3 linked regions of the Styela clava genome follow. The protein of the gene in region 1 binds, or shares a complex with, the protein of each later gene. Links are inferred from orthologs where the notes say so. Each region holds a gene or a part of one and is shown in the gene's direction. Other genes may lie near its edges.

Region 1 (11,324 bases):
GCCTACATTAACAGATTCTTATCAGCTTTTTACCTGCTTAATTACTATAAACTATGCGCTAGTTTGAAGCACATACAATACCTTTTTTCGTATTGATGACTGTTTGTATTTTGGTTGACAAAATAATAAATATCTCGATTATTTCATTTCGGTATTCTCTCTCCCGGGATAAATACGTAAATCCTACCCTATTTAAAGTGAATATAACCTTTATATTCTCTTTGATTCTATTCTACCTACAAACAATCTATCAAACAACAATCAAATACGAAGATTCAGATACTTTGTTGACTTATCCCTTATAAGTATAGTAGTGTACCGTATACAACCCATGTCCCCCACCTTTTGTGTGGCTCGATTTTTCTATAACTGGTCATTCGGTCCAGGATCTCTATTTTACCTAAACGATCGTGACTTTTTTCACCTCTTAATGCCATTGGCATTGTCACCATTTTTCTTTATTGTCCTCACAGAGCACGACCATTATCACTGAGTTTGCATCATTGCCCAAAGTACATGTGGAATGAACTTTTCCCATCAAAACTGTTTTTCCTGTCTGAATTGTACTTATATATTTATTTATTTATATATTGCCGTATCAGTACCGGTACTTAATCCAACCCGGCTTCCCCTGTTATGGTTGCTGGGAATTCCCCTTCAGTTGCTAAGTTTCTGCAGCGTCCTGCCAATTTCATATTGTGATTGCGATCACCCGAGCATGACGCTGCGAGACTGACATAATGATTTATCGTGAACGCGTTTTTTTCTGACTTTTACTCGACACGATGGATATTTGTTCACATTTAAACATTTCTCTCTCGATTCCATTCACATTTCTTTTTAAACCTTCCTCTTTTGACTTGCTCTCTCGATTCGATTTACGTTTTTTAAATTTCCCCTGAGCTAACTTAATTCTAGATTAATCATTTCTTCCCCGACTCTGTTGATTCCATTCATACTTTTTATTTAAACTTTTCTCATTTGGCTTACTCTCTCGATTCGATTTACGTTTTCCAAATTTTTGCCCTGATCATATATAACTCAACCTTAATCATTTGACGTTTTTTTGACGTCATTCAGCTTTAATGGTGTCGCTGACACGATGACTTGATAGTCTTTCGCGGCTCCTCGTTAATTGCAGTCGAAACATTATGTGTCTGTTGTTTTCTTTTGCCTTGATTTACTATGCTTGTGTTGTTCATAATGTTTCTTGCACGACGAAAATAAATTATCTGAATCTGAATCACCGTACTTTTAAAAACTAACAATAATGCAACGTTGTTTTAAAAAAAAGCATCTCTTTTTTAGCCTGTTGTCGCGGTATTAATAGGAAATGCTGGTTCTTGTTCACGCACAAAAGTAAAGAATAGGATTTTCAGTACCGCTAAGAAATAAATAGAAAGTTTTGACTTCAACTGTCAAGTGGAAAACATAAAAAAAGCAAAAGCCCGTAAGGACAGACTATTGTCTTCGAACACAGGCAGGCTCCTAATACAGTAATAAGTTTTTGCTTGTTTTTATCAATTCTTTTATCGCCTTTTATGCCTATTATGGTTTCAAAATATACTTATACTTACGCTTATACTAATCATAATGTAACGCACGCCAAACGACAGCAAAACTAATAGGCCGCGAGCCGAGGCCCTGAAAACCGCCTAGAAAGTGAGTTTCGTAGCGCACATCAGGTAACTACCTGAAAATGATTTTAAAATGTTCCTTAAAAATTTAGTAACAAATATTGCCTTGTTCCCACTTCCAAAAGTTGCACGTTTTACGGAAAAGATGCTTTTACTACAAGAAATATGTGTCACGATCTGTCCTATATTCTCTACATTTTCGGCACTGAACAATGACTTCTGCATGACGTAACAATTGAATTAAACCAGCTGTTAGCGAGCGGATGAATATTAGTTATTTCTGCTCGACCTTGCGCTGAGTTGGGCAGGCTTTCCATAGCCCTGTTTAGTTATTATCAGTTAAGTTATGCTAAGACGTTGTTGAAAAATGTATAAGTAAATTATTAAACACTTGTAGATCCTTACCACGGATATGGGCCGTGAGACGAAACCATGAAAACGCCCAGAAAATGAGTTTCGTAGCGCACATCTGGTAACTAAATAAATTCTTCAGTTTTGTGTGAAAACGAACATAATGAACGCATTACAGCTTGTTCCACAATCCTGGTGCGAAATTGAATATAAGAGGTTCCCGGAAATTCAATAACCATAAGTTTACAACGCATACATAAGAACTATACAATTCGAGAGCCCTACAGCACACTAACACAAATGTATTCCTGTAATGTTTTGCCTGACCAAAATCGGACTTCCTCAGTCAATCATAATTTATTAGGTAGATTACGAAAAATATGGCATACATGTAACCAACAACAAAAAATACTTTAATTGTGTGACAGGAGTCGGGAGTGACCTCGAAAGCAGCGACACCAACAACGCTGATTCACATTTGAGAATAAATTTTATGTAATAACCACAAGCAGTTTACAACAAGAACAGCATAAAAAGCTACATCCATTTTATAGAAGCTATCAAGTATCAAACGTATTTATTTTTAAGCAATGAAGTCACAAATTAACATCGTGAGCACGAAAACACAAATAAATCAGTTATTTCTCACTTAGAAATTTACCGCAAAAGTCAAGAAAATTAAATGAATGTACAATATGTACATAACATAGTGAACAGAAATATTACAATTTACAATTAATCTTTTTTTAGTTTATGTGGTTATGTATTTGAACAAAGGCAATAATATTTCTAGAAACAGGACTACGACACTAACAAATGTCCGAAAAAAACAACAAATGTATGATACTTATTAAATCAACTGTAATATCTAATTCACTTTCTTCTGAATTGTTTTCGAAATCCACAATCTCAGAAATCGACGTTTCCTCTATAGGTGTACTGTGATTTCTGCAGTCAATACAAAAACAAAAATCTGTGCAATTTAAGTTGATTTTGGCACACTTTCATAAATTATTTTGACTATTTTTCTTTGCAGTTTGCCAACTCAAGAACTGATTTGAGGGCCACATGCTTCTTCAGTGAATCATTGTTGGGTGGAGAGTATAATCCTTATGTTTGACAGTGTTAAATAGACGTGCCCTGGTATCATTTACATTCTTCATATCCTCTTTAAATTCCTCAGCTTTATTTATTAATACCTCGTTAACCTCAAAAGATCTTCATAGTCGAGGGAAAAAAATGAATTGAAAATCTCAATGAAGTCTCCAACTTGAATTTGATGGGCAGTTCCAATTGCAGAAAAGTGCTTAAGTATTTCAATATAAATAGCCCATCTAAGCCGTTTGCAACTAATATGATTCTCATATACCTTTAAGCTTCAAGACTTCTTGTTTAATCCATTTTATAGCACTGATAGCAACAGGGATCAGAGCCTGCGTTAGGTCGGATTGGTGGAACATTGCCGTTTTCTTTTGTAGTACAGTATCTAAAATAAGGAAGAAAATAATATTTGGAGCAGCATGATTTTAAAAATACCCCTAAATACTAACTAATACCTTGAATACATAATGCATTTTATCTGATGTACTAAATGAGCGTATATATGCTCATTGCATGTTCTACAGTCCAGCAGTGTTTGCATACCATTACTAGACTATATCTACACTAAATTTTGATATATCACAGTCTGAAATGTCCTATGACAGTATGAGTATGGACTATAGACTATATTTTGAAACATCAACTGTTTGTCTACAACTTCATTTCTCACCTCTCAATCATTTCCAATGCTACCTTTCTTTCCACTCCGGCATAACTTATCATTGCTTCCCAGGTTCTTGTCGACTCTATGAATTTAGATTTAGACCAACCGACATTAGTAAAATTGATTGATTTCTTCTCTTTCACACAACCGTGCATTACAGAAACAGCCATTCATTTCTATTTCCAAATATGCTGTGGCCTATATAGTAGTATAAGTCTGCTGAATAGTCAAGAAGAGTCATTAAATTAATCATAAACATTTCATGCAAGCCAGAAAATATCGTTGTTTGTGACATATTATTCTAGGTCTAGCCTTCCTTGGAGTTACCGCACCGTACCTATTTAACAACGTCTTATGAGCTAGTGCTCAACTAAAATTGCTATTTATGGCAAGGATATACAAGTGTTTAATATCTTACCTATACTTTTCAACACCTCCTTAGAATAACTGGACTAATATTACCGGTAACTGAAAAAAACTATGGAAAGACTACTCAACGCAAAAGCGAGCAGTTGAGTACATCTGATATTCATCCGACCACTGGGGATCCACCTACAGCTGACTAACTTGACTGTTACGTCGTGCAGAAGTCTGCGTTCATTGGCCCATGATACCGGAAAAGCAGAGAAAATAGGACAGATGGTAACACATATTTAGTGTAGTAAAAGCGTCTTTTCTGTAAAACGTGCAACTTTTGGAAGTGGGAACAAGGCAATATTTGTTACTAAATTTCTAAGGAACATTTTAAAATCATTTTCAGGTAGTTACCTGATGTGCGCTACGAAACTGAAAGATAAATGGCCTCGGCTCGCGGCCTATAAAGGCAGAATGCTCTTTCAGACTACAGTAGTCACGTGCCGTCATGACTTAAAACCGTACCTTGGAGGCGCAGCGGTAGTTTGTACCGTAACGCACTATCGGCAGCAGTCGTGAATTTTATTTCACAAAATCGGCATAAGGCGGTACCGGTACCGATTTATAGGTGCCAGGAAAGCAAGCAAATAGCAGAAAAAAACAAATTCCAATTTCATGCTTTTTTACATTAAAAATAGAAGGGCAGGCCAAAACCGACGTTCAGACGTCAGGACGTTACGCAATTCAGCAATTCTTAATAGCTTTATCTGAATTCGAATTATCTGAATTCTTTTGATATGTAGTTGGAAAATTACGGTACCGTGGTACCTGGTCATCTATTCAAATCAATTCTGTCTGGCTGTGGAGGGGATATATATAACTCTCAGGGTCGAGATATATTTAGGTCTTTCTGTCTATCCAAGTTAATCGTAACTCCTTGAACACTAAACAAAATCATAAGGTGAAAGACTGTCTGATGCAGAATGAAATTCTTGCCTGGCAGCCTGGTGCCTCAATGTCCCACGCCCTAATAGGGTATACCGGTAGTTCTCCGTGCGTGACTGACTGACTTTTACTAAAAAAACTCTGGTGAATAGCCTATTTAGGCAAATATTTTCACATCACTTTTGTTTGGCGTTTTTAGCACTCACAGTGGGTACCTACTTCTTATTAGGACTCCAACTATGAACTCAAAGAAAATTTAATTTTTATCACAAAAATTTTAGCGTATGCAAGCTTCCCTCAATAGCCTTTGAAGAATGTGTAGTAAACATTTTTCTAAATTTCTGTCAAAAATTTGACTCCGACTCTAACTACGAAATCTAAGAAAACCAAATTTTGATAACCAAAACTCTGGCTCTGGTTCGCCATATGGTTAAGCTGTCTTATCGACTTTTAAGAAAGACAATTGTTTATTTCACCCGCTCGCACTGACAGTGCGGTGAGAGTAGAGCGATCGGCAACTTTCAGGAGTGATGCGTCGAACCACATTACAGAGTGTGGTTGGATACAGTCGGCGGGCCAGTCAAAATCTCGTCGCGGCCTGCAGGCCGTATGTTGCCCACCCCTGGTTTAGTACCACAAGTACTAATAAAAGTGTTAAGAAAGTGGGATCGAGATTGCATACCAAAGTGGCAACCCTATTTTTTTATTCCAGTATTCCACTGTTATCCACATAGTATAAATAATATTAATGCATCCTATCTACTGATCTATTATGGGTTGCCTCGAGAGTTGTTTAAAGAAAAATGAGGAGGAAGCGGATGAGCGAACATCGTTGCTAGGAAACGGGAATAGTACAATTGCGAACACAGCCCCAATCAATACACAAGTCATCGCAGAGGTAGTGACTTTTTGTTATTTTCATATTATACAATCTACACAAACTTCACCCCTCCGAGTGCTTATACCACAAAGATTAGTACGGAATTTACTGGGGTCCAGTCTCCCTATAACAGTACGGCACATTATACAAATCGGGTGACATTGTCCCGTTTCAGAGAAACCAATTTTACAGATGATCAGACACTCCTCCTTTGGGAGACGTCTGGACATTGTTGTCCTTCATTATCGATAATAATATGGACATTGTTGTCCTTCATTATCGATAATAATACAGTATAATGAAGTTGCGCAAAATATTACAAAAAAGCGCAATCTAGTAACGTCATCATTGAATTCATTAGGAAAAAATAATCAAATTTACCGAAGGAAAAAAAATTTCACCGTAGCATTCAAAAGTCTTTAGCAAAAAACAGCAATTTTGGTCATGTGACGGCCGGGATTAATCTAGATCAGGGCTACTCAACTATTTTTGCTAAAGGTCCGTATACAAAACTTGAAAATTCTTGGGGTCCGGTATGGCCAGAAAATGTATTTCATACTGCGCCTAACTATAATTCAGTGACTCTATCTTTTCGGTTAAAAAGTTAAGGAAACGCGAGTTGTGGAAAACTGAGTAACCGCAAAATATTCCACATCCTTTTACAGATCCAAAGTTAAATGGAGACAATCATCCAAAATAAAAATAAAATCAGACGCGGTCCGAATCGAATACTCGAAAGGTCAGAATTCGGACCGTGGTCCGCCAGTTGAGTAGCCCTGATCTAGATTATTATTTAGACAAGCATGGCGTGATATGAAGCATCAGACGTGGTCCCAGACGTCCCTCTTTTGTGAGACACATAGAGTGTTTGTTTTATTGAGCCAAATGGAGGGAAATTCTTGGAATTTGGATAGTGTGCTGTACTGTATAAAGTACACTGCACAGTTCACTCAAATATTTCGAACCTGGGTTTCACAGAGTTATAAAGTTTGTAGTTCGGTGTTAATAGGGCTAATGCTCTAAAACGTGATAATGGATTCGGTTTGAAGACTTGAAAGGTCCATTTTCGGAAAGCGGTCATACTATGACTCTGAAAAATTTAAAACTGTAACTCTAGCTCTGACTTCCTTCTTTTCATGTCGGTTAGAGATCTTTCCAGATCAGCATTTTTTTCCCAATTCATTCAACCCTGGGTGACATATTGGGCTTGGATTTGAACCCAATATTTCTAGCTAGGTTAAAATTAAGTTAAACTAACCCTGACGTGGGCGAACTACGGTTCATGGGCCAAATCCGGCCCTTTGGATAATTCAATCAAGCCCGCCTGATGCATTCACAGCCAAATCAAAATCAAATTTTGAGGTTCAACTAAAAATAACTCAAGGAATTTGTTGAGATTGTGATTAAATTAGGTTTTGGCACAAGGCTTATTGTTTTTCACTTTTGTTTTTGTAACACTATTAATATTGTTCATAAAATATGACTTTCACGGCCCCTTTGGCCTAGTCTAGATGGGCAAAAACCTTTCCCTAACCCTGCTCTAACCACTTGGCTAAATTTAACAGGAGCATACACCTATTGGAAGCGTATCACGAAGCCAACAGGACGAACAGACGTTACTTAATGGAATTCTAACAAAATATTCATCTGACGTTATTGACGTAACAGCGATAGATTCGAGGATTGACGCTGTGGAATATATGAACAGAGTGACGCTGTATAATAGAAAATTAACAGGTAATTGGAATAGAGATAGTGAGTACTTCCATACAAGAATAATAGCCATTATGTGTAAACAATGCTCAATGCTGTGGTCCCAAACTGTGTATCATTTAATAACATTAAATTTGTTTGAAGAAATCATTTGATTGACCTGTTTCAGACGCTCAATCGAGCACAATTTTGAATACATTTTTATTAATGTCATACGACCCCCAAAATTTACCCAATATACAATAATTATATACCATTGGAAAGGTATTTTAGAGTACTATACGCTAGATGTCACTGGAGGACCGTAAACTAAAACACATCTTTCAAGAGGTCTTTCGTAACGTCAAAAAATAATAAAAATATTTACACTCTCTCATTCTATCAGCTGTTGGACGTCTATCGCTATTGTAAAGCTGAAATGTGACTATACAGTTGACTGCACATTGGTTTTCTCTTTCATATGATTCTAAACGCTTTTCCATAGCGCGTGTTGTTCAAGCGTTTTGGAAATTTTCCGTTTGAGAAGTCACCACATCGAATCAGGCCAGGCTAAGCTTGATAGATCGATCGGTTGTTTGTTTGTGCTTTATCGCGTTGAAAGCTTTTGTGAGTCATAATAAAACATTTATTATGAATCATAAAAGCTTATAATCGTCAGACAAGGAGAATTTGCGAGATAAAACGCCTAACTTTTTTTCGGTGAGGCAGCTGCGATCAAACGACTCGATATTTTTATAACTTCCTGACGTTGTGAGATGTCCACTCTCCTATGTTATGTAGCATATAAAATGACCTTCAAAATAAGACCTTATCATACTAGCTTTTGTTATTGGTTTGCGCGCAACGCCAAGGTTTATGGAATCATTTTCTTGTTGTGCGACGTTTTTATATCGCAGCGGGAAGTACACGCGTGATATGTAAGCGAAATTTTATCACTTCTAAATGTCATATAAGGTTCATTCTCATATCGTTGTGTGGGGAATAAGATTTCCTTTCAAGCAAGACCATAACAAACATTCCAGACCTCATGGTATACACACAGCATTGCAAAACGTCTGAAATTTCGCGCATGCGTCAAACCGGGAGGATTAGGTTAATAAAATAAATATACCTATGCTAAGATTATTTTATCTGATGAAAAAGACAGTGTGAAACTTTTGGCATTTCTTGCATGACTGCTTCGAATAATGTTGATAGCGACAACAATGTCTGAATGACTCACTGTGGTACCAATACCATGTCAAACTCCAAACTTCTGAATTAGTAGTAATTTGAGTAATTTCAAAAAATGCATCAACTTTCAATTCGATGAGTTTTAATACATTTTGGTTCACCTCAACTACCCTTGTATCCAGGCCGGATGGCGACTGTCAAAACAGCGACTGTCATAATGGCGACTTCATAATAGCGACGTAATCAAGTGAGCGACTGTCATAATGGCAGCCGCATTAGAACAGCCACTGTTATGATAGCGACTTTTTGTACAGGAATGACAAATCAAAGTTAGGGTATGGGGGATGGAAGGTGTGTGTGTGGGTTGGGGGGGGGGGGGTGTTATTGGGGGGCTGAAAGAGTGCTTTTGCACTATAGCCTTGGATATAATAAAGGGAGTGATGTCGCTGTTGTGACAGTCGCTGTTTTAAATGAATCGATGTAGTGTAGTCGCTCTATTGACAGTCGCTATTTGGAACCCGAGCCAACTACCCCCTACTCAGGGAGCTGAAAGACACAACCCAGACCCCAATACCAACAAAACCATTTCAAATCCAAACTTACACACCAAATTGTAAAAATGACATCTGACTCCAGCTCTAACACTGATAAAAGAAACCAAACTTCGACTGCACAACCTTTTTTTGATGCAAATTTCAATTCAAAACTGGCCAGAAAAGCATAATGACATCTAGGGAAAACTCTTGTTGCCAGAAACACAACAACAATTATCGTTTAAAATAATTACCGTACTTTGGAACAATGGGAAAAGTCTTTTTGAATATTTATGTTGATTTAGATTCTAAAACAGACCTACTAGTTAGCTCTAGCTTCGAAATTGATAAAATAAAAACAGACTGATCTTTGTCTGTTTGATGCATGGCGTCCACCATCTTGGTTTGCATACTACAGTACAGAAGTACCAAAATAATTACTTTGAATAGATAGAAACATTCGATTTGTTTTGAATATCTTTGTTCCCTAATGTGAAGTAACCTAACTTTAAATGTTTTTTCAGCTCTTGGAGGGAGATTGGAGGTGAGAAAGCCGTCGTTACGGTCCGCTTGCAACAATCCTGCAACGTTACTCGGCGGTCCAATGCCTTCATTTGATGACATCATGCTTATTAATGAAATCAGCGAGAGTTTGGCTGTTGCCGCGGGAGACATACGTGTCATAAGGAAACAAGACTTAACAATTGATCTCGCTCAGCGATGAGAAATCAAAACTCAACTGTAAAAATATGTTTTTTCATAAATATTTCCGTATTTTTATCAAACAAAGCTCCGTGTGAGGAGCTGATAACTAAGGAACACCGTTTTGTGTTATTCGACATTTTACTCCAAATCAGACCCTGTGCAAACAGCCACTGAGAGCCAGAAGTCCCCCTATTTTTGTGTTTGATGTTTCATTCTAAACAAGGCACTGGGCAAGGAGCATTTTGACTTGGATTCAAGCTCAAATATCTGAGAAAAGGTTGAAGCCAGGGGGACGGGTGGGGTTAAGACATGAAATGTTGCTCAAAAAGCATTTTTTGCAGCTTTGAACACGTTTTAGACCCTTATAAGACTCTTTATTAAAACTCGCGTTTTCCAGTTAGCTATCAAGGTCTAACTTAGCAATTATAAATTTCAGAATCCCCCCCCTCCCCCCTCCTTTAATATTCTAAAATAGGGTTCCCAAACCAGGGGTCGCGACCCCAAATTGGGTCAGAGTGATAAGTAGGTAGGGTTGCAAACAGGTCATGGGGTCGCTGAGGTATGGTAGAGGATGAATGTACAAAACATCTAAGATTTGACAAACCATGTTAATTTTAGCTGTTTGTACCATGGCTTACTGTAAAACAGGCCCATAGGCATCACTCTATGCTTATGCTATAGAAAATGTAGGTGCTTATTGTGACATCATTGTTTAGTTTTAGATTGTTTTACTTAATACCACCACATGACCAAACTCAAAAGTCCATTGAAAGAAGCTCTTAAGTTCCATGAAAAATATATGTATTGACCTGGGGTCGCACTGGACACTTGAAAGTTGTCTTTGGGGTCGTCCTGAAAAAAGCTTGGAACCCCTGTTCTAAAATATTCCAAAAGTCAAGAATCAGGGGTCAAAGGTCAGAGAAAATACTCGATGAAATTAAGAATTCAGAGTATCGAATTGTTTTACCGGGGACAACTATAGTTAAATAAATAAAACACTTTCATAGTAAAATACAGTTATAAGAATTATATTTCTAATTTTTGTTCGCAAATGTTCATTTTTCCCATAAACGCAAGATATATATTGTTGTTTCTAATAGTGTTTTTCCATCAATACTTTTTCAGCCAATTAATAAGCTATCTGATTTTTCCCCGTCCTTAGTAATGTACAAAAATATTGTTCAAAATAACTTTCTATTAAGAAAGAATTAATTTCGATAATCCTGTTCAGTTTATTCTTTTCCAGACTATTTTCTTACACAATGCTT
Region 2 (10,954 bases), on another chromosome or scaffold:
GAACAATTGATAAAATATATATTTTTCTCTTTGTCACTCATTAATACTGTACGTCTATTAAACTTAGAATGAGTTGCAGAAGAAAAGTATAAAATACCAAAAAAACATTTTACGCCCTCTCGTGGATTCTTTTCAAAATTTCGAAAAATAATCGATTTTGGAAGGGGAATTTCTCGAAAACCGCCAATAAAGGCAGCACTACGACACATTCGGAAAAAAGTATATACCCTATAGATTTGATTTCACTATAACAAAACAGTGGTAGCATGTTTTGACTTGGCTATATATAATACCAAAATAGCGTGTATTCTCAGTTTTATAAACATTGTCGACGTAACAAATTCAAGATGGATTTGTATTTCAACTGAAGCTGCTGGAAAAATGATCAAATATATTTTTCTCTTTGTCACAAATGAATACTGTACGTTTATTAAACTAAGAATTAATTGGGAAAGTTTAAAATAAATAAAAAAAACATTTTACGCTCTCTATAATGGGTTCTTTTCTGAATTCCGAAAAATAATCGTTTTTGAAAGGGCGATTTCTCGAAAACCCCCAATAAAGGCAGCACTACGACACATTCGGAAAAACGCAAATACCTTTTAGATTCGACTTCACTATACTATAACAGTAGCAGCACGTTTTGACTTGGCCATTTATAATACCAAACAAAGCGTATATCTCAATTATTTGAATAGCGTAGATGTGCCCATATTTTAAAAAGGTTTGGTATTTCAAATAAACTCACCTAATATCGTAATATTCCGTTTTCTTACTTTTTCAAACACCGATACTGTGTGTTAATTAAACTTGGAATAAGATGCAAATTGTATGAAAAAGTTAAAAATGTCTTACAACCTATATATAATTTTTTCAATTTCCCAAGCATGCCGTTTTTGGAGTGACGATTTCTCGGACAATGGCCAATAAAGGCAGCAATACGACACTTTTGGAGAATAGCAGATACGTTAAAGATTCGATTTCACCAAACCAGAACAGTAGCAGCACGTTTTGATCTGACCATATTTAATACTAAACATAGCATATCATTTTCAATTTTATCAACTATGTATATGTAACATATTTAAAAACGGTAAAGTATTTCAACTAAATTTCATCAAACACTTTTCTCTCTTGGTCATACATCAAAACTGTACGTTCATTAAACTTGAAATTAGTGTGCAAATCTTAAGATGCCAAAAAATGATTTGACGCCCTCTAGTGGATCCTTTTCGGAATTTCGAAAAATTATCGTTTTTGAAAGGGCGATTTCTCAAAAACCGCCAATAAAGGCAGCACTACGACACATTCGGAGAAAAGCAGATACCTTATAGATTCGATTTTATTATGTCAGAACAGTAGCAGCACGTTTTGACTAGGCCATATATAATACCAAACATAGCGTATAATTTTCAATTTTATCAACTATGTAGATGTAACATATTTAAAAACGGTTAGGTATTTCAACTTAATTTACTGGATAATTCATCAAACACTTTTCTCTCTTGGTCATACATCAAAACTGTATGTTCATTAAACTTGGAATAAGACGGCGAATCCTAAAATAACAAAAAATGATTTGATGCCCTCTTGTGGATTATTTTAAGAATTTCGAAAAATTATCGTTTTTGAAATGGCGATTTCTCAAAAACCGCCAATAAAGGCAGCACTACGACACATTCGGAGTAAAGCAGATACCTTATAGATTTGATTTCATTATGTCAGAACAGTAGCAGCACGTTTTGACTTGGCCATATATAATACCAAACATAGCGTGTATTCGAACTTTTATGAACAATGCAGACGTAACATATTTAAAAACGGTTTGGTATTTCAACTAAATCTATGGAGTATCTGCTTTTCTTCGAATGTGTCGTAGTGCTGCCTTTATTGACGGTTTTGTGGAAATAGCCACTCCAAAAACGGTATGTTCGAGATATTAAACGAAATTACTATGGGGCGTAAGTCATTTTTTTGTTGTTTTATACAATTTGCAACTTATTCCAAGTTTAATGAACGATCATTATTGATGTACGTCCAAAAAAAAAGATGTTCGATGAATTATCCAGCAAATTTAGTTAAAATACAAAATCTTTTTACAATATGTTACGTGTACATTGTTTATAAAATTGTGAATACACGTTATATTTGGTATTATATATGGCCAAGTAAAAACGTGCTGCTATTGTTCTGACATAATGAAATGGAATCTATATAGTATTTTCTTTTCTCCGAATGTGTCGTAGTGATGCCTTTATTGGCGTATTTTGAGAAATCGCCTTTTTAAAAACGATATTTTTTCAAAACTTCAAAAAAAAAATCACAAGAGGGCGTCAAATCATTTTTTGTTATTTTAGGATTCGCCGTCTTATTCCAAGTTTAATGAACATACAGTTTTGATGTATGACCAAGAGAGAAAAGTGTTTGATGAATTATCCAGTAAATTAAGTTGAAATACCTAACCGTTTTTAAATATGTTACATCTACATAGTTGATGAAATTGAAAATTATACGCTATGTTTGGTATTATATATGGCCAAGTCAAAACGTGCTGCTACTGTTCTGATTTATTAAAATCGAATCTATAAGGTATCTGCTTCTCTCCAAATGTGTCGTAATGCTGCCTTTATTGGCGGTTTTCGAGAAATCGCTATTACAATAACGATAATTTTTTGAAATTTTGAAAATAATCCACAAGAGGACGTGAAATGCTTTTTGGTATTTTATACTTTCCGCAACTTATTCCAAGTTTAATGAATGTATAGTATATATGTATGTCCAAGAGAAAAAGATGTTTGATAAATTATCAAGGAAATTTATTTGAAATACCAAACCGTTTTTAAATATGTTACGTCTGCATTGTTTATAAAAGTTTGAATACACGCTATGTTTGGTATTATATATGGCCAAGTCAAAACGTGCTGCTACAGTTCTGACATAATGAAATCAAATCTATAAGGTATCTGCTTTACTCCGAATGTGTCGTAGTGCTGCCTTTATTGGCGGTTTTTGAGAAATCGCCCTTTCAAAAACGCTATTTTTTCAAAAACTTCGAAAAAAATCCACAAGAGGGCTTCAAATCATTTTTTGTTATTTTAGGATTCGCCGTCTTATTCCAAGTTTAATGAACATACAGTTTTGATGTATGACCAAGAGAGAAAAGTGTTTGATGAATTATCCAGTAAATTAAGTTGAAATACCTAACCGTTTTTAAATATGTTACATCTACATAGTTGATAAAATTGAAAATTATACGCTATGTTTGGTATTATATATGGCCAAGTCAAAACGTGCTGCTACTGTTCTGACATAATGAAATCAAATCTATAAGGTATCTGCTTTACTCCGAATGAGTCGTAGTGCTGCCTTTATTGGCGGTTTTTGAGAAATCGCCCTTTCAAAAACGATAATTTTTCGAAATTCCGAAAAGGATCCACAAGAGGGCGTCAAATCATTTTTGGCATTTTAAGATTTGCACACTAATTCCAAGTTTAATGAACGTACAGTTTTGTTGTATACCCAAGAGAAGAAAGTATTTGATGAATTTTCCAGTAAATTTAGTTGAAATACCAAACCGTTTTTAAATATGTAACATCTACATTTTTTAACAAAATTGAAAATATACGCTATGTTTGGAATTATATATGGCCAAGTCAAAACGTGCTGCTACTGTTCTGACATATTAAAATCGAATCTATAAGGTATCTGCTTTTCTCCAAATATGTCGTAATGCTGCCTTTATTGGCGGTTTTTGAGAAATCGCTATTTCAATTACGATAATTTTTTGAAATTTTGAAAAAAATCCACAAGAGGACGTAAAATGCTTTTTGGTATTTTATACTTTCCGCAACTTATTCCAAGTTTAATGAACGTATAGTATATATGTATGTCCAAGAGAAAAAGATGTTTGATAAATTATCTAGGAAATTTATTTGAAATACCAAACCGTTTTTAAATATGTTACGTCTGCATTGTTTATAAAAGTTTGAATACACGCTATGTTTGGTATTATATATGGTCAAGTCAAAACGTGCTGCTACTGTTCTGACATAATAAAATAAAATCTATTAGGTATCTGCTTTACTCCGAATGTGTCGTAGTGCTGCCTTTATTGGCGGTTTTTGAGAAATCGCCCTTTTCAAAAACGATAATTTTTCGAAATTCCGAAAAGAATCCACAAGAGGGCGTCAAATCATTTTTTTGGATTTTAACATTTGCACACTAATTCCAAGTTTAATGAACGTACAGTTTTGTTGTATACCCAAGAGAAGAAAGTATTTGATGAATTTTCCAGTAAATTTAGTTGAAATACCAAACCGTTTTTAAATATGTTACATCTACATAGTTAATAAAATTGAAAATTATATGCTATGTTTGGTATCATGTATTGCCAAGTTAAAACGTGCTGCTACTGTTCTGACATATTAAAATCAAATCTATAGGGTATCTGCTTTTCTTCGAATGTGTCGTAGTGCTGCCTTTATTGGCGGTTTTTGAGAAATCGCCCTTTCGAAAACGATAATTTTGTGAAATTTATCAAAGAATCCACAAGAGGGCATAAATTTTTTTTCAGTATTTCAGACTTTACACAACTTATTCTAAGTTTAATGAAGTGCATTATTGTTGTGTGACAAAGAGAAAAATATCTTCTTTGATGAACTATCCAGTAAATTTAGTTGAAATACAAAATCAGTTTCAAATTTGTTGTATAAACATTGTTTTAAAAATTGAAGAATATACGCTATTTTTAGTATTATATATGGTCAAGTCAAAACGTGCTGAGACTGTTCCGACATATTGAAATCGAATCTTTGAGGTTTCTACTTTTCACCAATGGTGTTGCAATGCTGCCTTTATTGGAGGTTTTCATGAAACGACCATGTTACACGACGAAAATTCAGTCATTTTTAAACAAAGAATTATAAAAAAAATTTGTGCACTGTAACAGTCGCTTTAGCTTGTTTACTATATATTAACAATACGAGGAGTGTAGTTAATGATTGTTTTGCTTTAATTGCTATTGTGAAACTAATCAAAATATACACTTTCTTATAAAAATCATTGGGAACATTTAATTTTACGCGTGGGTATTTTCTGCGATTCTGTCAGTCACAATTTCGTGTTTTGCTGCTAGCTTCACAGAGGTGAATGGTTTATGAATTTAATCAAATCAGAATCAATCAATCAAGTTTATTTTTTTCCAACCAGTAAAAAAGGAATAAATAACATAGGCACACAGTTTTACTGGAGAAGGGAAGTCGCGGGGAACCAAAGCTGGTTATCGAGGGGTGGAGGCTAACTCGCCATGGACCACTCGCGGGGTTAACGGGTATGCGGCATGCCTGCAACTGCACGAAGGCTCTTCTTGCAATGGGAGATGGAAAGGTGGTTTCACTTACAACTTCAATAGCGAGGATAAATATATTAAATTAAATGTGTTTGGTTAGAAAGATGTCTCAACTTATCATTTTCATCTAAGCATGCTAAATATATCACTATATTAATTGATTGTGTGAGCACTAAATCAACAGTGTACAATCGCAACTGCACAAAGGCTCTTCTTGTAATGGGAGATGGAAAGGTTTATCCTCGCTATTGAAGTTGTAAATGAAACAGCCACCTTTCCATCTCCCATTACAAGAAGAGCGTTCGTTCAGTTGTGGGCATACGGTATGGGATTAGTTAGCCAGTTATTTGTTTTTGGAAGCATGGACTTGATGGTGGAGGAAGCCGTACGGTACCGGTAACCGACCAGCGGTTACGTGAACCACCCTACGGCGGCGAGGAGTCCAGCAATCCTCTCGCACATGATCATCCCCGCATGGGATTCGAACCTGCGATCCCACGAAGGGTAATCGATAGGATACCGTACTGTAGGATTTACGGCCTCTCATCCGGTTACCGTACTACAGTACTAGGCTATTCCATGTCGGGTATCAAGGTATAGGATTAGTTACAATAGTTATTTGTTTTCGGAAGCATGGACTTGCTGGTCAGCTGGTGGAGGAAGCTGTAACCGATCAGTGGTTTGTGAACCACCTTATGGCTTATGGCTGCGAGGAGTCCAGCAATTTTCTCGCACATGCTGACATGACCATCCGTCCATTCTCATGTGGGATTTGAACCTGATTCGGGCTGTTTTACTTAAAACTTCAATAGTCTAATAGTGCTCTGAGAGACAGTCAACTCGCCATGTCTATTTTCTTTATATTTCAGTATTTGTTGATCGACATCGCGAGCTTGAGAGAGTCAACTCGCCATGTCTATTTTCTTTATATTCGTTGATCAACATGGCGAGCTCGAGAGAAAGAGAGCCAACTCGCCATGTCCATTTTCTTTATATTCGTTGATTGACATCGCGAGTTCGAGATAGAGATAGGGTGGCAATTTTTTACGCAAATGAAAATAAAATCAGAAAATATAACAATGTGTAGGTCATGGGCTTTTCCATATGCTTAGAACAGTGAAAAAGCTTGTTCATCTCTCACAGTCTCAACTGATGTGGGTATTTTCTGAGTTCAGAGTTAGGACAACCAAATAAATTTAATACATTAATACTGTAATATGTTGAATCCTCAAGATTTAACTCAAGTTTTGAGTCAAGCAAACACTGGGGGAGTACAAAGCACACTTCTTGTTAACAATGAAGGATCCTTAGTCGCATTTTCTGGATATGGAGATACAAATGTTAATGTGAAAGCTGCCATTACGAGTAGCATTTGGTCTGCATATGAGAAAAGTGGAAGTAATGCACTTAGTAATGAAAATCTACAATTTATGCTTTTGGACTGCGATGATGGTCGAGTTGTCATGACGAGAGTTGCAAGTTTGATTTTGTGTCTTTTTGCAGAAAAATCTGTCAATGTGGGAATGTTGAAAGCAAAAGCTGATGCATTGACAAAATATTTGAGTGAACCTCTCAAAAACCTTGCGTTAGTTACATAATGATGTACAGACATTATCCAGTTATCTGCAAGTATTTATTAATAACATTCTAACAACTATTTTCTATGTCTGCGAAATGAACAGAACAGTTTTAATTGTATTTTTTCTGTGAAATGTAGGGATACAAGTTTTATTCCTTATTTGATTCCTTCATTTATTTACCGTGAGCTAGGATCGATTGTCATTAGGTTTTTGATATAGCTACTTGGCCTACCATAAAACAGCCTAAATGCAGTTTCACAGAAGGGGTCCGCTAAATTAATATAACTGTATAATGATTTCAAATTTTTAGGTGGAACCTTGAACTTTTAATTATACAAATTTAACTTGAAAATTATTTATAGGGAGCATTAGAAAATTATATATGTAAAATAATAACCAAATGGTTATAAGATGGAGCCACTAAAATTTTTCACAACTCTGGCTCTCCAGCCCTGCTGAGACATCTGGTTTGAAATTTTGAAGTACATTTCTATGTGCTGTAACAGTGAAGTGTCAGATATCAGAAAATTTTCCAATGTTTATAACAATATTTTTTAAAACATTTAGCATTCTCTCTCTCTTCAGCCACTCTCCCTACTCGCTCTTTATAAACCCTTTAACTGATAACTCCTACTCCAGCCTTCTATAAAATTTCATGACTCAGACTCTCCAGCCCTGCTGAGACATCAGACAATTTGGTTACATCTGAAATACATTTCTATGTGCTGTTACAGTGAGGTGTCAAATATCAGAAAATTTTACAAAGTTTAGGACAATATTCTTTAAAACTTTTGGCATTCTATAGTTACTCTCCCTACTCACTGCGTTCAAAATATTTCGACGTAAAATTCTGTTGATAATATGAGATAGGGTATGAGCAAAGTGTAGGCCTTTATGTCAGTATGCATGACTCAATAATATTTTTTCTTTGCCACAATTTTCATTTGATGTGTTCAATTCTGCAATGTGCAATTCTCTTTTTTTTATATATATTTCTGTTCAACATTTTCTCATGAATAACTATGAACAAATGTAATTATCTGGTAAAAACAATTATTTAGTCAGATTTACACTTGCTTGATAGTAATAGAGAATGCTCATTATTGATATTGTTATAAAAGGTTAAATATTGTTCTATTATTGATTGAAATAGTCATTCTACATGAAGCGTTTCATTCAAAAGATAATAATTAATAAAATGTTTTAATTACCGGTATAAACATTTTATTACAAGAATTACTTTTAAATTTATGAACACAGATATCCTAATCTGTGAAATGAATTGCTAAAGTAGCTATTTTTTCTATACTGAATCTATACTCTGGTCATCATGATTTTATGTTACATTTATTTGGATATTTAATTAGGGGTCTCATGGTCACGACACATCTATGTGGCCTGCTGTATGATAAATTCACTACTTGTTGATGCAAAGATACCCGCAAGGTTTAATTATACAAGAAAAAATATGGGGTCTAGTGTAGTTTCGTACCCAAAGTACTTCTAGTGGGTGAAGCATAACAATTTGTGCATATGTCAATCCTAACCCCCACCTGACGGGGTCATCCAAAAATCACGTCACTACACCATCACAGTGACATAATAAGGGCCTTCAAACTATATGCACTGTCATCCAAGACACGCAAACGTTCACCCAAAATGGAACAGCTATTTCTCTCGTTTTGTCGGCGCAGCGATCCTGATACGAGAGAGATCGCTGCTGTTAGTGAGTTGTTTATCGTCGGCGCAGATGCTATTTGGGGCGATTGTAGGTATACTTTGACAAGCTCTATGACGTGTTTGTGACGTCGTAGTGACGCAATTTTTAGATGGCGTAGTCAGGTGGGGGTTAGGATTGTGCAAAAATTGCTGTGCTACACGAGACCCAAAATATGTAATGGTAGCTGCGGACTTGCAGTGTCAAGGATTTGTTTCCTTTAATTGGGAAAGAATAAACTTGTTGTTATTCCTGACCTATCCATTACTGATTATTTTCTTTCAATGATTACGTATACCCTAAATTTCCATATTGTGATAGCTTAATAATACTGATGATATATCTGGTTTTGTTTGCCATTTTCATTCTGAACTTTAATATTTTGCATCAATTTTTCTAGATGATTGCTTCTGATTAGATCTGTGGAATAACTTTTTGTAGGGTAGCCTACATAACTGTTCAATTTAAACTTAAACAAAGTCGCATTCACTATGTCTAGTTCTCAATTAACTCATGTCCATGATGGAGAGGATGTGGAAAATAGTAACAGTTTCCAGACTAAATTTCAAGGAGCTCTTGGGAATCCTGAAAAATTGTGGGATTATATCAACGAAAACAAAGAAGCAGAAACTGTTATCCGACCTGTTGCTTGGGAATTGATCGGTTCCACTATAAGTTTTCTCAGAGAAAATGCCATTTCTGAAAATCTGAAGACATATGAGAAATGTTTGGAGAAAATTGCTGGATTCGCAGTACCGAAAGATGTTTATCTGGGTATATTGGAACAATTTGACCCGAGTATTGAGTCGATGTATGTTGAACTTCTCATGCCTGCATTATCAAATGTTCTTGAGAAGCTTGCTTTAAATGACATCGATGCGTGTATCACTGTCCTTGAAACTACATTTTCAACTTTATCATATTATCTTGAAAGTCTAAATATTCCTAAGTATGAAGATTTTGATCCCACATTAAAACGAACAAAAAAATTCGAAGCTCAGAAAATTGAAAGTTTTATTTCTAAATATATTGATTTATTAAACCCAGTGGTGAGAGAAATATACTCTAAAAACAACCAGATATCTTCAAATATTCTTCAATTTGAAAGTTATATGTTTCAGTTTTTATGCAATTTGCTCATAATGCTGGGACAAGTTGACTTAGATGAGCCCTTACCAGATAAAGAAAATGACTCGATAAGAGAAAATGTAATTTTTCCGGGGACTTCAAAAATATGCTGTGACGTTATGCTTAAAATAACACATTTTCACTCACCAAATGTTCTGTGGCATATTGTGAATTGGTACAAGTTACAACCAGCTGAGGAGCGGTCAATGGAAGCTAAATTTGAAATTGTAAAACAAGTCGATCGAGCGAGAGCATGTTATGTTTTTTTATTGCTGTGTAGAGGTTTGCTTTATGATCAATTTCCTAAAGTTTATTCGAGTCAATGTCTTCTGGTATTTACATGCATATCACTAAACACTCTACTTTCTTGTGAAAACCAGTGTGTGGCATGGAAAGGTTTAGAAACTCTTTCATTCATTTTGAATCAAACAAGTGATAGCTCAATCTCATGTGGCGAAGTTGTCTATAATATAAAGATGTCTTATGGAAGCTTTCAAGGTCGTAGTCAATCACTAAATCCCATCCTTGATGTTTTTAAAAATCTCATTAGCATTGCTGTTATGCTACCTTCGAAAACTATCCGTTCAACTGCTATACAACATGTGACTAAACTACTGAATTTATTTCGTTGGGAGGATAAATATTCAATTTTAGTTCATCTGCTCAGAACAACAGATCACAATGGTGTGCAAGGAGTCTTGATTGGTTACTTAAAAGACCGTTTCAATGAAATTTTACAAGAAATTTCCCCGAAAAATTCTTTAATTTTTTGTGAAGCTCATAAAATGTCTACTCTAGGAGAGCTGATATTTTTATTACCTCAAGGAACAGAGACTGATTTACTTGAAGACTGTGACAGACTCATGCCTGCATTGAATTTGTTTCGTTTCCTTCTTATCAGAGATAAGACGAACAAAACAGGAATACTTGATCATTTGGATAAATTAGATACAGAGTTTCTAAAACCTTTGAGGAATGCTATTGACCTATCTCGAGCTCATTATGAAAATGAACTAAAGAAGTATGATCGGAGTTCTAAACGTCCTGATGATAATAAAACTGAATTTCTTGTTAATGGAACCCCATTACCTACTTTACCATACAAGGAGCAAAAGCGAACACTTGAGGCAGCATTGCATACTTTTGATATGATTGAAATTGTTACAATTAGGGTAATTGAGT
Region 3 (11,472 bases), on another chromosome or scaffold:
GATGTGCATGGCCAAACTTCGCAATACAAATACTATAAATCGGAAATAAAAAATATTTCACAATTACGCGAATGGGTGATAAAAATGTAGTTTTCGGATTATTCCATAAAAGTATGGATCTGAATCATTGATTGACTTACTGACTCCTTCCATCACATAAGGAATGTTCCAATTGTCTCCATCAGGAAGATTCATCCACTTCGTTGCATCTCTCGCACTCGCCCTTCCTTGAACAGAGCGACGGATAATTGAGCAGCTAGAATATCGTAGCGTCAAGCAAATCAGGAATGATGTGACGAGTATATCTGAATATCAATTTTAAACATTTTCGATTTTTAACTAATTATTCACTGAAACAACAAAGCATTAAGTCCTTCGAATGACTCTTCTGGAAGGTATGATTTGCTGCCTATCATGAATTTAATTGTAACATTTAGTCCCTAGTGATTACTTGCTTCTCCTTTTGTTTTACTTATTGGGAACCATGCTTCAAGTCGTACAATACCCCAGACAGTTAAGGTGCTTTTAAAAACAACAAACAAACTGGATACGGCCATACCAGCAAAAATACAGTAAAACAAACTTCGATTAAATCTATAGAAAATATATACATTAAGTTTACTATTTAAAAGGATAAGTCGTAAAAAAGCAAATTTTGTTATTCTTTGAGATAACATAAAACAAACTACTTACTGTTGTTCATTGTTGAATTCCTTCCTTGAACAAATATTTAAATAAATATTTCTGATTCAGATTATAACTTATTCTCAAAATCACTAACTTGCATTGAATAGTTCAGTCCGATTCTTTGAAATAGCAAGAAAATCGTTTCTCATTGCATTCGAAGGATTATTACGAATCCATGACACTGTTTATTTTAGCAAATTACTTGATTGTAACAAATGTTATACAAATAATTAAAATCCGTATATTGGCCAAATCTTCTCAGAATTTCATGTCTGATATACGACCACGTTTCGACACTTGTTGATTGACGCGACTCATCTTGGACTTGGCATGGCAAATATTTAATCTAATGGAAAATGGCGGTAGTAATTACCGAAGCAAAATTCAGATTCCTTAACAATGGGAGGGATCAACCATTTTAGAAAGATATATTTGCCAGGTATTGTTTATATTTCTTCAGAACAATTATACTTTTGCACCAGACCAAGTGTGATATCACAGCCGCAATAACAATCACTACTTTATAATCAACGTAATTAGAATTGAAAATTATAATAACAAAAAAACTAATAAACAATTAAATCTTATTACGCGTTTTTGGAAACAATTTACAAATAATTATCGAAAACTGTATAAAAGTGCAGAGATGGGTCCTGAACTTCATTCACTGTATTTTAAGTCGAGCCAACAGTTTGTTATATTTGAGCACAATGTTGAAATTCGGTAAGTCAATTTAAAACTTTCATTTCTATTATCGTTAACCTGTGTCCTATTTTTCGTAAATGAAACTTAATGTTTTACTCCTATAATTTTTAAAATAAAAACATGATCACCTTGCAAAAAGCTTATGAAGTATTTTTTGTTATATATATATTATATGATCGATTGTTTCCAAGTTGTTCTTACTCGTCTTTTTCAGCATTTATTCTTATCGTCGGTGCGTGTGCCGTATCAGCAGTGCGGATTCCTCGGACACCAAGTAAAACATGTGGAGTGCAGAATGTTGCTGTAGAATGTCCTGGTACGAAATGCATTGAAAGACTGTTAGATAGCTATGGATGTCTCACTTGCGCCTGTAACCCAAACCCAAGTAAGTGCTTCTTTTGGAGAAATCGTCTTACCGATAAATCAGTTTTACGAATGTACAAGTAACAATACATTTCAATATTTTCAGCTCGTATGGATGACATGATACTCTCTCCAACGGTTGCCAGATTTATTGACGCTGGCTTCAGACCAGGCCGGCCATCGAAGGGCGCCAGCATTAGTTTCCCGCTTTGGAACAACATTCCATCTGGGACCACATATCTCATTCCTTACGAGTTTGCTTCGGGGTTCGGTGAGTACTGCACAAGAGTTAAAAATTTAGTATTTTTTTTCAAATATTAAACTTCAATATTGTCTATGAGAGTTCAACATTTCTTTACGACTGCAAATCGTCACAGCAGTTTACACACAGACCTCGTCTATGATAAACAGCAAAGCAGCACAAATAAATGGCATAAAATGGTGCCAGTAATAGACTTATAAAACGATTTACATCTGTAATCACTCTTGAACATTAAAAGCGAAGGGCTTAACTGAATAAAAAGGACTTTCTCTCTCAACAACAATTACCACGCGTGCAATTTATATTTGAATAATAAGTATTTATAATTTTACCTTGCAGCCAGCGCAGGACAAACCGCCGTTCAGCAAAGCATTGTCGACCTGGAAGCCTCAACTTGCTTACGATTTATTCCAAGGACTTCACAATCAGACTACATGCAGTTTTACGCTGATAGTGGCTGTTTTGCACCGATCGGACGTAACACTGGGATAAATAGGGTGCGACTAAATAGCAAAAATACATATGCTCTTAAATCTTATTAAACTAATTTTCGCAAAGTCGCAGTCGACCACTGAAATGTAAAAAACAACCCAAATCGGGTTGCGGCTTCACTCTGGTAATAATTCAAAACTGAGACGTACATGAATTTCAAATACCTCCGTCTATTCAGTATTAAAGCATACTCGGCTTTGGTTACTGCTGGTTGACAACAGTTTCAGGGTGTGAAGTGAAATTGAACCCTTGCGGTATTTTCAAATCATATTGGAAATTCATCAATATATCTACCTCATCTTCTGACTGACAAAATAATTGAACCACTGATATAAATTTTTTTTTTTCAGATTTCTCTAGGTGACGGCTGTCAGACCAAAGGTATTGCGATTCATGAAATAATGCACAGTCTAGGCTTCTTCCACGAGCATCAACGACCGGATCGCGATGCTTACGTCAATATCATCTTAACAAATGTGGAACCAGGTAATTACAAATTATTTATAAGTTTATTATGTGAACAAAGATGGCGGACACCGGAACGTAGTATGTGTCAGGTTAAGTTTAGGCCATAATTTCAGATACAAATACTACGAGAGTCACTTGGCTAGTCGCCGAACTCGTAATAGAAATAAAATAAGAAAAATTGGAAAAAAATCCTGGCCTAACCATAACCCGGTACACATACGTTCCGGTGTCCGTCACCATGGTTCACATACCTCGGGAAGTGGCCATACCAAAAATTTTGCAAGTTTGTTATTCCTAAATTACTTATCAAAGATCCAATCGGCTTCAAGTTTCTACTCACGTGCAAAAATCCATAATTTCATCTGATATGGTAACGAAATTATAGCTGGAGCATATTTATTTTCTGAGGGTATCCTGTTGAATTACGTTTTTTACTTCGCAAAAATACATCATTAATCGTCTAATTCCCCCCTTGACAAAAATTCCCAAAACGCGATTTTTTAAAAAAAAAATATTGACTTGAATACAAATGATTCAAATACAATTGAATACAATTCAAATACAATTCAAATACAAATTCAAATACAAATACAATTCAAATACAATTCAAATACATTTGAATACATTTGATTCAAATTCACTTAACAACTTTATATTTTTCAGGTAAGGAGGGCAACTTTGAAAAAATATCAACAATTGATTCGCTCGGGTCACCATACGATTATACATCGATTATGCACTACTTTGGAACAGCTTTCTCTAAAGACGACACTTCGAAAACTATCACGATGCCCGATGGAACTGATCTCGTTGGATACCAGGTATACTTTATATATCTTTCGATTCATCTTTGAAGTTAATAGTGATGCCATTCTAATTGCTTGCGCCCTAACTGTCTTATTTCGAAAAGAACGATGCTTAAATGTAGCCTACATATATAACACTATTTTATTTCGTTTTCAGGAAGCTGGACTAGTGCAGACGGACATTGATCAGATCAACTTGCTTTACAAGTGTTCAGGTAGGCTACTTCTAGGATAAAATAGAAAATATAGGATTTGACTATACGAACTCTTTTCTTACGAAAATACACTGGAATTCATTTTACGCCATTGTGTTAACAAATTTTACGTTTCTTACCTACAGCTATTACCACAACTACCACTACTGTCAGTCCAACAACAGTCCCAAACCCGACATGTGCGGATAAGCTGACGGAATGCCAGTACTGGGCAGCAACAGGAAGATGCAGTTCTGCGGGATATATAAGAATGATGAGAAAGAAGTGTCAAAAAAGTTGCGGATATTGCACTGCGTCAGGAAGTAAGTTGGCTTCATATTGGTGAAATTGTATATTACTAATCATAAGGCGCACTTTTTTCCCTTCAAAATCGATCATGTGCTTTATAAGCCGGTAGTGATTTACTGCCCACTTTCAAAATAAGTACCGTTTTAAAAATCGATGTACCTTGTTGCCCGATGCATATTGTGTATGGATAGAAACCGATTGTAAGCCATTCATTGACAGTGCGCCTTATAAGACTCTGCGCATAATAGTCCCTAAATGCGGTTATATAAAAAATGGAACTACCGCGAATTCGAATATTTCTTCAAATCAGTCGAAGATATTTGCTAAATATTATTTCTTGTTTTCCAGCACTCGCGTGTTTCGATCTGAGTGGAAATGCATGCGCAACTCTCAAGCGACTTTGTAAAGCCACTGTCGTTGTCCGCAATATCTGCAAAAGAACTTGTGGCCAGTGTACATGAAGATAGATATCGGTGTATATCACGTGATGGGAAGGATATCTTGCAAAATAGTCAATGTCACCTTCTTGTATATATCACTCCCGCTTTTATAACTGCCAGCTTAATAAATGGAAGTTTGATATACTGAGACGTTTGATATGTTGTTATTTTACGTCGGAAGAGCAGTATATAAAATACATAACTATCACAAAGCTCTCTCATAAAAAGATCAAATGATCCTCTTCAAAATCATGTGATCGTGTGACCTCGATTCAAGTTAAGCGTTTCGTGTTATAATCGGAAAAACAGGTCAATGGCGTTTTTGTGTCAGTCCACTTCACGTGACTAGTCTTGTGACAATTTAGGGGAATCCCTTTTGTCGATCATTTTCTTGTGTCCAGCAGTCTGTGAAAGCGCTTGGTTTATCTCGGTGTTCGCTAACGTTCAGGATAGGATTTACATATTTATCCCGGGGGAGAGGAAAGTCGATTACCCGGCCTCTCGTCCGGTTACCATTCCATATCACTGTATCGGGTACCTGTATGGGATTAGGTAATTATTTTTCGGCAGCATGGACTTGGTGGTGGAGCAGTGTCAGTGTCTGAGTCCTGAGTGGAGAGTAATCACGCAGAGTAATCATAGGTGCGGAGGGGAGCGTATATCTATTGCTTAGCACGATGCCGGCGATTCGTAATATTTGTCATATTATTGCATGTCATCTAGCAGTATTATCATTAATATATACTGTTATATGCCAGTTTTTTGAGATTATGTAGAAAGGTGGGTGGCAAGTTAATGACTGTAGAGTGTAGTGGTCGCAATTCCGGTAACCAATTAAGCATCATACAGCCATACCAGTATTTTGGTACGGCACAGTTTTTTGATTCCAAGAATAACCCTCACATTCACAGACATCAATTACTGAATTATAACAACTAGAATATACCGGTACCCCTCCTCTACGAGTCTGGGCCTCAATATTGGCACAAATCGGTACCGTAATGAGCAATATACTAAATGGAAGTGCAATCTAAAAAACGTCACCATCAGATTCCTCTGGAAAAAAACATATAGGGTGGCTTACCCACTTTGCGGCCATGACCTATCTGCGACCATCAACTTCATCGATTAAATTAATGCCGAAAAAATTAACGAACCGCGACGATATTTCTCACACGTTATCGTCCACTTATCCCTCGTAGCTCTGCGAAATTACACTAAAATGCGGCCACAAATAAAAAAGTTACGACCGAAAACCTGACCGAAGAAAAAAAACGGACCATTTTACCATGTCGCCAACTACCCATTGTTCCCTCAAAGAAGCTTGAAAATCCATACAAATATAAAAGATAAAGAGATGAAACTTGGCAGGTGGGTAGAGTTGTGTTTCTTTTAACCATCTTTAAAGTTTCGCGTTTCTACCTTTAAAGGAGGGGGAGTAGGGGGGTGCGCATTTCCAATACGTCAATAAAATCTTTGTCAACTAATTTGCGACCACCGTGTTTTTGTCTGTTTGATTGCTGTGATGCGGTGCTTTGTTTATAATTTGAAGAATTTTGTTTGAAATAACCGTGTTCTTAAAATATATGACGGTCAGAAATGCAATTAGAAGCCCATTTTTTCACGCATGGCTGCGTATGCCCTAGTCTCGACGCAGCAGAAACAATGTTCAAGGCTTGAAATCCGTGATCGCACACTGGTCGTTCGGTCGCAAATACGTCTTCAGAGTGTCGTACTTTGGTGGTTTGTATAGCTTTAACCCCTGGTCGTAGAAAGTTAATTCGAAGTTCAGCGTGTAGAATAAATGCCAATGCACCTACGGTGGAAAAATTAACGGGTTAGAAATATTGGTTTTTGTTTTATAGCGGTTTGAATGAAATCGTCCGCAGACTGGCTACACCATCCTAGTTTTGATACTATGAAATGGTGCAATGAGTAGTGTTTTATTTGTTATATTTAAATCTTTAAACATTTGGAATTTTTTACAGGACTAAATCGATATACTATTTTCTAATAAGAGTTTCGCTTAAATATATATTCCTTGCAATGAACGCTGTGATAGCCCTTTGTCATTTCTGTGAGCAACATGGTCCAAGCGTGATGTTCTGCACAGAGAAAGGAGGCTTACCCCCCCAAAAAGAAACTAATCTGGATGCGTTGCCAGAAGTGAGCTCTTCGCAAGAAATTCCACTTGGAACCAGTTATCCAGATTCAGTGATGTCTGCGGATTTTTCAAGACCTTGTTCGAGACAAAACTCTGTTAATAAAAGTTCGCTTTGTCAGGCGTGTCGATCTTTACCAGATGGACATAAAGGATTCATAAGCTATGATGGAAAAACTGAAGAAGTTTTTGTTAGTTCTCAACATCCGCAGAATCCAAATGTTTTTGGTAAAGTTCGACAAGCTTGTGTGAGGAGTGTCAGCAGCGAAGTATGCCCTGGAAGGGAAGGACCTATTTTTTATGGTGATGAAAATGAAGGCTACGTCTTAAGTTATACTTTTCCAATCAAAGACAGTCTTGCAAGAGGTTTTAAACGTCAATATAGCATAATCGTTGTTATGATGGATCGTATATATTTGATCCAGTCCTGGCCTTTTCTTGTAGAATGCATCAGTAAGATAATAGCATATTTTCAAAAATGTGCTGTATCAGTGTATAACAATGAACATGCTGAATGTCCCCAGAGAAATACGAGACTAAAGTCATCTCTATCGAAGACCGTAACTCCGCAAAATTTTCGATCAAATCGGAGCAGTCATTCTAATGCAAGAGCGCTTGTTGAACTAACAGGCGATGAAAAACTATATTCATATCTTCATTCATCTTTCACATGGTTAATACGAGCTTGTAAACTACGCTGGAAAGAAAATGTCATTTATAATCCACCCACTTTAGAGAAATTATCTTTAGATGAGAACGACCAAACTATTGCTTCTTCAATTGAGTCGGGTTTCAAATTTCTTTCGCTACGCCACATGAGGGAAGTTTTACAACCTCCACGATTCAGAGCTATAGTTTGGCATTTGCTTATTGGTAATCAAGTAATCTGGCATGGATTGCAATCTGCTGTTATATCAGCCATTCATACCCTCAAAAATATCCTACCAAAAGGCTGTGCTAATATTGCAGAGTGGACAACTACAATACCAACGGACAAAAATTTAATTGGAATGCCTTGTCTTTTGAGTTTCAAAAATGTCAGAACGAAAGACTATGTTATTGTAGAAGTCTTGTGGAAGAATGGAATAGAATTTAAATGGAACAGCAGTTGTGTTATTCCAGAAAAGGGTCCAAGCCTTCTTGAAAAACTGGAGGTTGCTCTAGCGAATGAGAATCTTTCCAATGAGGTTGTTTTGCAATGTTTACTTTGTTTAAAACAAGAATGGATCAATAAAACTGAAATTCTTCGCAAATTTGTGACGGATAAAAGAAATAAAGATGACACAACAGATTTATTACAGAACTGTTTATTCTGTAACGATGATGATGTAAAAATGATGAAGTTTTGGTTGACCAGTTCTTAGTGGTGTCAGGCTGAATGAGAGATAAAATGAACTGTATTTCTCTTTCTATCATGTAAATTCATATACATTGAGGTACGGTCAGTGGTGTAATTCAAATTTTTGTCAGCTGGTTCCTTCACAAAAATCATATTTTTCAGCCGATTCTGTTACAAACAGAACATTGACAGTAACCAGTAATGCTAACCGGTTTGCTGATCTCATAAATTTCCGTGAGACGGTTCTATAGAACCGGTGCAAACCGGCTGATTCCCACCACTGGGTACGATGTTAAACATTATTATAAGTTGTCAAGTGTAAAACTGGCATGCCCTCAGTTACTGATATCTGTGATTTTTTCAGTATCAATTGAATTGTGTTGAGCTAGTCTCAAAATATCATTCTAGGGATGTTTTAAAAATTGTTTTGTTTTAATACTTTATACATTTCATTATTGCTCTATTTGTGTTATACTATTTTGATTTTTACAGTATTATAATTGGATGCAATAACATTTCTACCAATATAATATTGTCGAGAATTTATCTCATGTAATTTGTCAGGTGGAAAATTGAGTTATATCATGTTACAACCTTACTTCCAATATTTGTACTTTCTGCAATTTCTGTTGATGCAGACGTTGAAATTGAAAAATAATGTGCTGTTCAACTTCTTGTTTTTTGATATGTTTTGTTAATGTTGTATTGAAATTATATTGGTGATCATATTCTTGTTTCTGTAAATTCTCCTATTAGGTCTTCCAATGTAGTATTAAAATATTTTTATTCACTGTTCTACTGAACCACGTACATAATGGATTTCTGGTTTACACGTGGGCTTTCTTTTCTTCCAATATTCGTTATTGTCTGGACATACCTGACCTTCACCATTTCGTATATAATCTCTGTTTCTCGTGGGGATGTTGATCCAGGGTTTCCATACATATCCGACACTGGTGCAAGAAGACCAGAAAGTTCAATATTTGGACAGATGTTGAATATTACAGCTGCATTTGGTGAGTTTACTAATGGTAAAAGGGTACTTCCTTAGTATGTGAACTAAGATGGCGGACACCGGAAGGTAGTATGTGTACCCGGTTAGGCCATAATTTCAGGTACAAATACTACGGGAGTAACTTGGCTAGTCCACAAACTCCTAATAGGAAAAATTGGAATAAAATTATGGCCTAACTTGGTACACATGCTATGTTCCGGTGTCTGCCATTTTGGTTCACATACTACGGGAGCGCCTGTAAAACATGTGTTGTTACAAATGAGTACAAATTGAAAAAATGCTCCGAAATCAAGTCCATGCATCTGAAATGAGTAGGTGATTTGGTATTCCCTTACCTGACATGGACTAGTAACCTGGCCGTGGTTCACCATGTGATTAAGCTGAGGAATTCTATCTGTTTCAATCATGTCTGACATGGGGAAGGCGCAGGGTTTTCCAAAAATTATATCAGCAAGATTTTGCAAGGACTTTTTAATGTCGTCATGATGTTTAGTATTTTTATTTCAATGTTGCCAGTTGATTAGTATTTAAATAAACGACTTTTCTATTTTTATCACAGCTCTGGCTTGTCTGTATGTTCGTTACAAGCAGGTTGAATCCTTCCTCATTAAACTCTCAGACCATGATGTACGGAAAGTTTATCGGGTGAATAAAATATCTTGGTATTTCGGGATTGCAATAAGTCTTGGAATGTCTCTTGTAGCGAATTTTCAGGTAACGACATAAGAGTTCAACTCTTCTTATTTGATTATTTAGATTCAGATGTTTGTTTCGTCGTGCATGAAATATTGTAATGACACAATTAAACAGCTGCAATTGACGGACCTCAAGTATGCACACCAAGATGGCGCACAGCCTGAACATAGTATGTGTTAATGTGTACCAGATTAGGGTTCAGGTTATGCGACATCTTGGTGCGCATACTTCAGGAACACCCAATTGACAAGGGGCCACGAAAGACTACCAAAGTCATTGTGTCAGCGACACCTAGAAAGCATATCTATCAGGATAGGAAAATCTTTGTTGACTTTTAAAAAATCTGTGAACATTTGCTTTCATGCTAATCTATTCTTACTATTCAGGAAACGAGTGTCTTAGGAGTCCATCTATTCGGGGCTTTGCTTACATTTGGAGGTGGCACTGTATATGAGTTTATGCAAACCTATATAACTTATAAAATGCATCCTGAAGTTAATGGATTGGTCGTTGCACATGTTCGTCTTGGAATTTCAATACTGAGTGTTGTCTTTATTACAACTACTTTCATTGCGTCAAGTATTGCCCAAGTACCTGTCAAATTCCATTGGGCACCTGAAGATCATGGGTATGATTAGTTATCGTTTTGAATATTGTTTTAAATGCATTTCTCTCTTCCAAATTATATCGGTAAAAAGCATTTTTTTTGTATTTATTCTGAAAATATAGAAGCCTGTAAAATGGCCAGCTACATTGTTAAGTCTTGTAAGCAGACAAGGTCACATAATTAGCACCTTGGATGGCAAGTCTGATCTCAACTCGTTGCACTCACCGCCAAAATCTATGTTTTACACATGGGTGTAGTAATGAAAAGAATCTTTATTGGGCCTGCAATACTGTTATCAATCAATAATCCATCGCAAAGTAGGGCACTTGACCTTGATTTATATCAAATGACATTTATATGTCAAGTTGTGAAAACAATATTTAATTTTTTTTTTTTGTTATAAAATAAGGATCAATCCGTTTCATCAGATTTTGATTTATGATCTGGTGGGTAATTCAGTTACAGCATTATCTTTGCTATTCATGAACAGTCTTGTCAAATGATGGTTTCTTATGATATATTGGTATCAATTGTGCATTCGCAGACATAAAATTCCTTATGAAATGAAAGTGATTTTTCAAAGATGAACATTTTACCACCAACGAAAACAATTTTGTCTACTCTTTTTTTTGCAACAAAGAACTGTATATTCTGTCATGAATATACTGATATCGCACTTGGTCTAAGATGATTCAGAAATCTTCCACAATCCAAAATTTGCATTTTGCACCTGATCTGAGTCAGTTCTCGAACACATGACTATGATTCCATCAATAGACTGAATTATAGGTGACATCATTTGAAATTTATACAAAAATGTTACTGCTAAAGCGTCGTCATCAACTGTAGTCAGCATATTTAAACCATCTTTTCCTGTGTTTGAGTTGAATATCTTTATTAAATTTGCAGGTATGCTGCTCATCTAGCA

The links.
Region 2: ragulator complex protein LAMTOR1-like (region 1) and ragulator complex protein LAMTOR2-like share a complex: the UniProt entries of both Homo sapiens proteins name them as parts of the ragulator complex. The link is inferred for Styela clava from reciprocal best matches to the Homo sapiens genes LAMTOR1 and LAMTOR2.
Region 3: ragulator complex protein LAMTOR1-like (region 1) and folliculin-like share a complex: the UniProt entries of both Homo sapiens proteins name them as parts of the lysosomal folliculin complex. The link is inferred for Styela clava from reciprocal best matches to the Homo sapiens genes LAMTOR1 and FLCN.

What each region holds. Positions count from the first base shown.
Region 1 is NC_135255.1:23,607,156-23,618,479, forward strand, and holds the start of ragulator complex protein LAMTOR1-like, read left to right. Parts: upstream 1-5,745; 5' UTR 5,746-5,824; coding exon 5,825-5,950; intron 5,951-7,497; coding exon 7,498-7,669; intron 7,670-9,875; coding exon 9,876-10,075; 3' UTR 10,076-11,324. UniProt on the Homo sapiens protein: Key component of the Ragulator complex, a multiprotein complex involved in amino acid sensing and activation of mTORC1, a signaling complex promoting cell growth in response to growth factors, energy levels, and amino acids.
Region 2 is NC_135260.1:21,001,398-21,012,351, reverse strand, and holds ragulator complex protein LAMTOR2-like, read left to right. Parts: upstream 1-5,592; 5' UTR 5,593-6,564; coding exon 6,565-6,945; 3' UTR 6,946-9,045; downstream 9,046-10,954. Other genes in the region: glomulin-like, read left to right, coding at 9,136-10,954. UniProt on the Homo sapiens protein: As part of the Ragulator complex it is involved in amino acid sensing and activation of mTORC1, a signaling complex promoting cell growth in response to growth factors, energy levels, and amino acids.
Region 3 is NC_135254.1:8,919,607-8,931,078, reverse strand, and holds folliculin-like, read left to right. Parts: upstream 1-6,677; 5' UTR 6,678-6,772; coding exon 6,773-8,251; 3' UTR 8,252-8,982; downstream 8,983-11,472. Other genes in the region: hatching enzyme 1.2-like, read right to left, coding at 141-305, 694-703; astacin-like, read left to right, coding at 1,398-1,410, 1,607-1,777, 1,862-2,026, 2,357-2,514, 2,860-2,995, 3,641-3,798, 3,941-3,998, 4,124-4,300 and 1 more; DNA damage-regulated autophagy modulator protein 2-like, read left to right, coding at 9,041-9,242, 9,801-9,955, 10,324-10,565, 11,454-11,472. UniProt on the Homo sapiens protein: Multi-functional protein, involved in both the cellular response to amino acid availability and in the regulation of glycolysis.